Drosophila melanogaster: one gene and its partner. The protein of the gene in region 1 binds, or shares a complex with, the protein of each later gene. Each region holds a gene or a part of one and is shown on either strand. Other genes may lie near its edges.

Region 1 (3,752 bases):
CAGCTTGATCTCTGATGGGGGCTTGATGTGGTTGTATAGGCTCCAGAAGTCCTCGACGGTATCGAAGCTGGTGATCTCGTTTTGCATGTCCTCCCAGGACTTGGACCGATCGTTTTCAAGGTACCACAGCGTCCAGACATTCATGAGCGGGTGTTTGTATAAATGCTCGGTGCGCACAGCATCGTCGCCGGCAGGAGCAGTAGTGGTTGCAGTGTTGCCTGCTGGTTCACCAGTCTCCTGTGGGTCCTCCTTGGGCTTGACATCCTTAGCCTCGGCGGGCGCTGCAGCCGAAGTTGGTGGTTCCGGACGACCCTGCTCGGTGCTGGGGGCGCTGGTCTGCGGGAGAAGATGGCAATGGATGGGAAGGGGAATCAGAAGATTAGATTAGCTTGGCTTAGCGACAGGCGCACTGAGAGTATTACTTTGAACATGGACTTGGGATTGGCAAAGTTCTTCATTCTGTGAAAGTCGCTCTGCATGTTGGCGGCCGTGTTTATTGGATGCGTTTGATGGTAGGATCAGTTCTTTTTCGGCTCCGGAGTGGGTTCGGATCGGTTTCGATTCGCCGTGATTCACTTGCCGCTCTCTCTCTGTCGCGGTGTTTGTGATAGTTGATAGTTGGTTGGTGCGTGTGTGTGCGAGAGAGCGAAGCTTTTGATTTCTGTTTGAGTGTGTGTGGATTTTGGATTGTTTCGTGATATCTCGCTCCCCTGCAGTTCGCTCTTCACTTGTGTATTATTAACCAAAAAACTAAGTAATGATAATACAAAAAACTCGTTAAACTTGTTGTTGCTGTATGGTTGAGTGGGTGTTGTAACTAATTATTGAGTATATGGTGTTGGAGTATCCTGTTTCACTTAAAATCGGACTAGGCTACTACTAAAATAGGCGAACTAATGCTGTTCCTAACGAACTCGGAATCGAAAGGGGCGATGGAATTACAGCACACACACACACGCGCACGTATCTGACATAAAAACACAGATTGCCTGTTGAAAGAATTGGAATTGTTGTTTTATATTTGAGTTAAAAGAGTTACTTGATTTTATTTTATGTTGCGGCTAAAATTCGTGTTCGAGTTCAAAGCAGCGGCGCGATTAACTGAAAAAAATTAACGTCAAAGAAAGGAGGTGGAAAGTGAAGAGGGAAAGCCAACGGTTTATTTACTGCAATGGCCGACAAAAATATGATTTAACTGTTCGCGACTGGTTAATTGCAGTAATTCACTCTTTTTCCATTCTTTCCATATTTGTCTCTCCGCTCTCCTATTTATGTATATGTAGCTAAAGAAGAACACACCCACACACACGCGCGCGATGTCTTGACAAGAGAGAGAGAGCGAGAACACTGAAAACGTGTGGTATGCGTATGCAAATGCGAAAGGAGAGAAAAAGAGAACGAGTGACCGCGAAAGAGAGATAGCTTGATAGAGACAGACAGAGATAGCGATAGCTATGACGTAGACAATAGCGTGCAAGTACAATTAATATTAAGCAATTGTGCAAAAAATAATCGGTGAACACAATGATGATGTAGCCACGCCAACTGCACACTTTTCCGCTCGACTATCGCCTCCCCTCTTGTGCAACAACCCTGTTTTTGTTGTTCCTGCCACGGCTCAGCCGAAATCGAAACCATGCGGCTCGCCGTTTCTCGCCTTACCTTCTCCGTCTCCAACACTACCATGATTTCGATGTATCGAAATGTATACTAGATATCGGTTACGCACTCAAGCTGCGTAGGTTACTGGGCTTAATTATTATTCGAATTATTTAATTCTTTAATTAAGTTTGGGATTTTGGTGGCCAGACAGTGTGGCCGTTGCCTAAAGGAAAGTTAGTGACGAGCGACCGAAGGCAGCTATCGATTGTTGAACAGGGCAACTCTGGAAATGCCTGTCACTGACTGATTGTTATAAAACCCAAGCAACCGTTACGTTTTTAAGGTTTCCATATATGTCATCTCTTCTATCTCTTTTCATGCGCGGAATTTACCATTTCACCATTAAAATACTAAAATTGTTAAATGTTTATCGGAGCTAAATATCATACTTTCTATTGTAATATTTGTATTTGAACCGAAATTCATTTTCTGTCATCCAGGTTTAAAATGAAACGATATTAAACAAGTTTATAACCAGTAAGTTACGCCTATTAGGAATCATTGAGGCCATAATAAGCCATTTTAAATAAACGCTTCTTATTGTCAAAAAACAAATAACTTGCTCCCATGGGAACTTTTTCAAGAACTGACCGAGCTTAACTTCCGCATAAAATGGCAAAGCAAATCTTAGAGCTTCAATCAAAGATATAAATGCAAACTTAATTGACATTTCATCTGATTCCCACAGCGCGATCGCCATCAACAACAACGTCATCGTCATTTATCATACACAATTTGTTGATGTTTTGAAGCCAGCAAAAAATAACAATATATTATAAATAATTATCAAAAATGTTTAATACGGACAAGCCCAGAAAACCTGATTTTTGGTTGAAAATTAGGTCTTCGTTTTTATTTAGACACTGGCATCATCAATTGGAATTTAATAACAAAATAACAAACATAAGAATGAATCAATGAGTTTTCCATATAATGCGACTCTATATTGTTTAAGTTTTCTTGAGAATTCCAGAAACTTTCGAGAATATCCAAAAATAAAATAACAAAGTAACGATATTACTTTAGTTAGAACTTGGACGTCATTGGTTAAATTTTGCCACAAAACTAAGTCTAACCTGTTGGTGAATCATGACTAACCCAGAACCTTAGTTGTTACCAAAGCTGCTTCGTATTTGAATCCAACCAAAATTCTTTCCACACATTATTGGCTCGCCTTTGTCTGCTTTAAAAATAGCCAAAAGATCCCAAAACAACATGGGAATATTTATGAGGGATGGATAATATTACCGCTGATGATGTGGCGCTTTTAGAAACGCTTGACTTTCAAAATAGACTGTTGCAGTTGAGACGCAATCCGAAAATTGAAGATGCTTACGAACTTAGCCTGAGAAACGTGAAGCGTGTTTATTATTTAAATAGTTAAGTCATTTTGTAACCGATCAACTGCGCAGTTGCCCTTGTAAATGCCTAATAAGCGGCTTTCAAGAGCTCGGCACGATCGTTGGATCGATGATCCGAAAACCCAAGATCCCTTCCCGAAACCCAAGATCCGTGGTCTCTAATTACACTTGAGCCGGTCTTATTGAACTGACACTTGATCGCCTGTCCAAGTGTTGATGTGATTACCCATCGCATCCTCTATTCCAATCGCATCGCATCTAATTATGCAGCAGTCAATTGCGGACTTCAAGTGCTTGGCGCATGTCTAAACAAAAAAACTTCCGCCGATCTACAGGAAACCCGGAGTCAAAGTTAAACCTTAGGCAGTATACTTTGCATTAATTGGAAGTAAAAAGTAATTGAAGCGCTCAAAGATGCTTAATTGTAAATAAATCATAGTCAAGTGGTTAGGTTATAAAGTTCGATAAATAAGGTTTCGACTAATGGGTACCTTGTAACTTATACAGAACCTGTATAAAAAATTGTACTTTTTCGTACTATTTTCATAAATTATGCAACAAATAAAATTAAGAATTATGAAGAAAAATGGGTATCTAAATGCTAGTTATACCATCAAGATAAGATGATCGAAACCAGATTTCAGACACCCAGTCGCCGAATATGCTTACTGAACCAATGAATTCCGATTGGTCAAAAAAGTATCTTTAAGATACTCGAAACTGACAGCC
Region 2 (3,752 bases), on another chromosome or scaffold:
CGTTCGTCCGTATGTTTCACGCAATTCGATGGTGCAATTTCATCAGCCTCCCCGAAAAAGATTTCATCCGAATTTCACTATATATGTACGTATGTATTACCTGTCCCCCGGCGGATGGGAAAAACACCCCTCGGCGCTTAGAGAACCGGCTAGGAATATCTCAAGACGCATTTTAACTTGGCTGCAACGCAGTAGGAAAACTGCCTGCCGTCTCTTTCCTCGCGGCTATAGGCCTGTCTCTCTCTCTTTGCGCAGGTACATCATATTGTATCTGATGAAAACGAAAGCAAAATCCGAACTGGTTTCTTCGAGGGTTGATAAGCCCTAATGGAGGTGGAAAATGCGGAGAAGAGCCGCTCTCTCACCCAAAAAATAAAATATATAAACATATCAGCCGGCACGTAGGGCGGTTTCTATGCTGTGGACTACGTGCTAGATGACACGGCAAAATTGTCCGTGTTTTTCGTGTTCTGGCTCCCTTGTTTACCGTTTACTACTTTGGGGGTCAGTTGGCACCCAGCTAACTCCCACCCCCATCTAGTGTAATTGATGGATTTGGGTCATGCTTTCCCCAATTCAAATATGCTCCTCGTCACATGGAAATCTACTTTCAAGGTCTGTCAAGCTTCCCCATTTAGCCATCATAAATATTAGCACGCTTAAGTATCGACCTTGTGCAGATTTCTAGGTGGGCGCCATCCCCTGTCCCACATCGAGATCATGATCGCCGCAGATCAACACACGTGGCCACCTTTTGTCAACCCCATATCCCTCGGAATGGCCCGTGGCCAATATCCGAATTACGTCGAATCGTGGGCGCCAACGTAGGCAAAAGTTCCTGTAGCACTATTTACATGCGTCCAACGATTAAATATCGTCAACATCGCCCCCGCATAGCTAAAACCGCTCGTGCCGCTGCTTGGATCCACCCTATGCTTGCTGCGATCAGTGGGGCATATTAGTTTGATTCCAAACAAGATATTCCACCTCAAAGAACTTGGGAACTAATAAGGGTTCGATCACCAAATTTGGTGATATGATATATGTATTTCTTTAGATATGTGCGCTAATATTAAACGGCTAAGAAGTCAATGTGCCAAAGAAAAGATATTAAATATGTATGTTTCATATCAGTCAAGTTAAATTTTGATATGAGCTAAGCGTACTTTTGGATTGTGCACTCCTAAATATAGAAATCACGCTAAAATTGCATATCTAAGTAAATAAAGCAAGTAAGTTATGTAAGACGTGTATCTTTTCGTGATAATTATTTCAAAACGGCTCGTGCCAGATAATAATGAACACTTTCCGCCTGAAAAAAAGTGAAATGCTGGGTATCTTTTAGCCCATAAAAACCTGCAATATCGTTGCTCAAATTGCTATGCTCCGCGAGTTCGCACATGCATAGAAGGCACTCATAGCCTACGTCACGATTGCCGGCGACGTGTCTTTATGCTAATTAATGGTATTTCGCGAAAACGAGTGCAAAATAATGGCCCCATGGAGAGAGCGGCAGTACTTCACGAAATTCTGCGGAACACCTCTTGACTCCCAGACAGCCATAGATAAGATCCCAATTGCACCTGAGTCATCATCATTTCCCTAGCAAGATCGACAATAGACTTGGTTTTTAGAAAAGAATGCGATTGGCGTTTAGTGCTGTTGGCTAACTTGTTTACCAATAATATTGCCGTGCATTAAACAATAACAAATGACCAAAGATAAACAAGAGCTCAAGGCGAGAAGCCCCTCAAGACAGCCCCCCACCATCGCTACACCCCTTATCATCTAGAACCTCCGAGGTGTGCAGGCTGCAACAAAAATAAGAACAATAGGGGAATATATTAGAATACGGCAATAACAACAAGAACCAGCCGGTTTGTCATAAACTACGCAGAAAATACACCAGATAAAAACAAAAAACATCAGCCGACCAAGCAGAATAATCAGGCGAGAGAGCAGGCGAAAGAGCGAGAAGAGAGCGAGAGAGAGTAAGAATGGGGGGGTATAAATAGAGCCACACTTCGTAATACCGCCAGCAATCGCCTAGCGAACAGCCAACGGTGAACACATAGCAGCCACACAAGCTCTATAGCTGATACAAGCAACGAAATACAAACAACGCAGTTTGTGTAAACAATCAAATTGTCGCAGCCATATCGAGTGTGCTTACACGTCCAGCGGAAAGTTTTCGAAACCAATCCAATCAATCAGCTAAGATGTCCGCTTCACCCACCGCCCGTCAAGCCATCACCCAGGCCCTGCCCATGATCACCAGGAAGGTTGTCATCTCGGATCCGATCCAGATGCCCGAGGTGTACTCCTCGACGCCCGGCGGAACCCTCTACTCCACCACTCCTGGAGGTAAGTTTCGAAAATTGGAAGCTGAGACTACATCGAGTATTATTAAGTTCCTTCCGGAAAGTGGAGTGATTTTCTTATCATTAGATATGATATCAAGATGAAATTAATCAACATATTTCGAAAACATAAACAAGTATACCGTTTCTTTCCTTTGCTCAAACAACAAACAAGCTTTTGTTTGAGTTGTGATACATTATTTTTGTAAAACTCACTCACCATTTTTTGGCTGATGAAACTGGGCCATCTCGCCGAGTCAGTCAGTTGGAAGATAATCCCGAGCACATGTTCCACAGTTCGTGACTCAGAGTAGCGCGGCAAAGAAGCGTTTACTCAGCTGGCTTATCAGTGGGGAACTTTGAATACCTTTCTGATGCAACGCAGACCACCTTGACTAATAAAAATTTCCGCTTTCCTATAATTCCAGGCACCAAACTTATCTACGAGCGGGCTTTCATGAAGAATCTCCGTGGCTCCCCATTGAGCCAAACTCCGCCGTCCAACGTGCCCAGTTGCTTGCTGAGGGGAACTCCGCGTACTCCCTTCCGCAAGTGCGTGCCCGTCCCCACGGAACTGATCAAGCAGACCAAGTCGCTGAAGATTGAGGACCAGGAACAGTTCCAACTGGATCTGTAGGGGGTGTGGCGTGTACACCGCCATGCAGCAACTGCCAAATCCAACTAGTTCTTAGATGCACCCACTAAAACCGATCTTATAAGCTTAGTGTACCCATTAACTAGATGCTAAGTTCTTAGTTCTTCCACCTTGTTTGTTCTCTCGGTCATATTGACCCCGTTACCTTGTAAAATCGTAGATCTTAAGTAAAATGCAATAAAAAAAAGGCACACATTATTTAAAAGAGAACCACACCTTCCATTGGGATTCAGTAGCTGCCAATTTACAATTATAAATTTTAATTTATGTTTGAGAAATTCAGTGCCAAATTACTTTCTTTATCGGCAATTCAACCTTGGCAGGCCACGCGTTATGTGATAGAACACTTTCCACTTCACCTTGAGTCAGTTTCGGTTTAGTAGTATTTTCGGCAGTTTGTTGAACTGTTTGAACTGTTTACGAAGAAATTTAGCGAAAGGGGGCTTTTTGGGGGGCGGTACACATGTTAGACAGCTGGAAATACCGGCCGGCTTTTTAGTTAGCCAGTCAGTCAGTGGCCCCAGCAGCGCGTGTCCCACTTATTGCAAAGATATGCATACATATTTATAATGTATCCAAAAACCGGCAAACAAACGCCACAAAAAAATAGATCTTTAAGAAACTGCGCAGTTGGGAAACGACCTCGCCTTTGGCCCCCGCCCCGCCCTTTACCATTTTTCTTATATATACAAAAGTAGTGTGCTGAGCACATGTTCGTTCAGATAGACCGATCCCTT

The links. The genes of interacting proteins can lie anywhere in the genome.
Region 2: the proteins of eIF4E1 (region 1) and Thor are in contact, whole or in part, in a crystal structure (PDB 4UE8), measured with the Drosophila melanogaster proteins. Residues at the interface, in NP_001261626.1 of Drosophila melanogaster: Lys80, His81, Pro82, Leu83, Met84, Tyr91, Ile107, Thr108, Val113, Glu114, Trp117, Ser118, Leu119, Tyr120, Asn121, His122, Ile123, Lys124, Pro125, Tyr135, Leu174, Asp175, Leu178, Cys179, Ile181, Gly182, Glu183, Phe185, Asp186, Ser188; in NP_001285588.1 of Drosophila melanogaster: Lys51, Leu52, Ile53, Tyr54, Arg56, Phe58, Met59, Lys60, Leu62, Arg63, Ser65, Pro66, Leu67, Ser68, Gln69, Thr70, Pro71, Pro72, Asn74, Val75, Pro76, Ser77, Cys78, Leu79, Leu80, Arg81, Thr83.

What each region holds. Positions count from the first base shown.
Region 1 is NT_037436.4:9,400,618-9,404,369, forward strand, and holds the start of eIF4E1 (eukaryotic translation initiation factor 4E1), read right to left. Parts: upstream 1,844-3,752; 5' UTR 1,687-1,843; coding exon of another isoform or gene 1,663-1,686; exon of another isoform or gene 1,300-1,662; intron 1,189-1,299; exon of another isoform or gene 1,040-1,188; intron 990-1,039; 5' UTR 480-989; coding exon 423-479; intron 337-422; coding exon 1-336. UniProt on the Drosophila melanogaster protein: Recognizes and binds the 7-methylguanosine (m7G)-containing mRNA cap during an early step in the initiation of protein synthesis and facilitates ribosome binding by inducing the unwinding of the mRNAs secondary structures.
Region 2 is NT_033779.5:3,476,397-3,480,148, forward strand, and holds Thor (thor), read left to right. Parts: upstream 1-2,037; 5' UTR 2,038-2,219; coding exon 2,220-2,364; intron 2,365-2,788; coding exon 2,789-2,997; 3' UTR 2,998-3,216; downstream 3,217-3,752. UniProt on the Drosophila melanogaster protein: Repressor of translation initiation that regulates eIF4E1 activity by preventing its assembly into the eIF4F complex. Hypophosphorylated form competes with eIF4G1 and strongly binds to eIF4E1, leading to repress translation.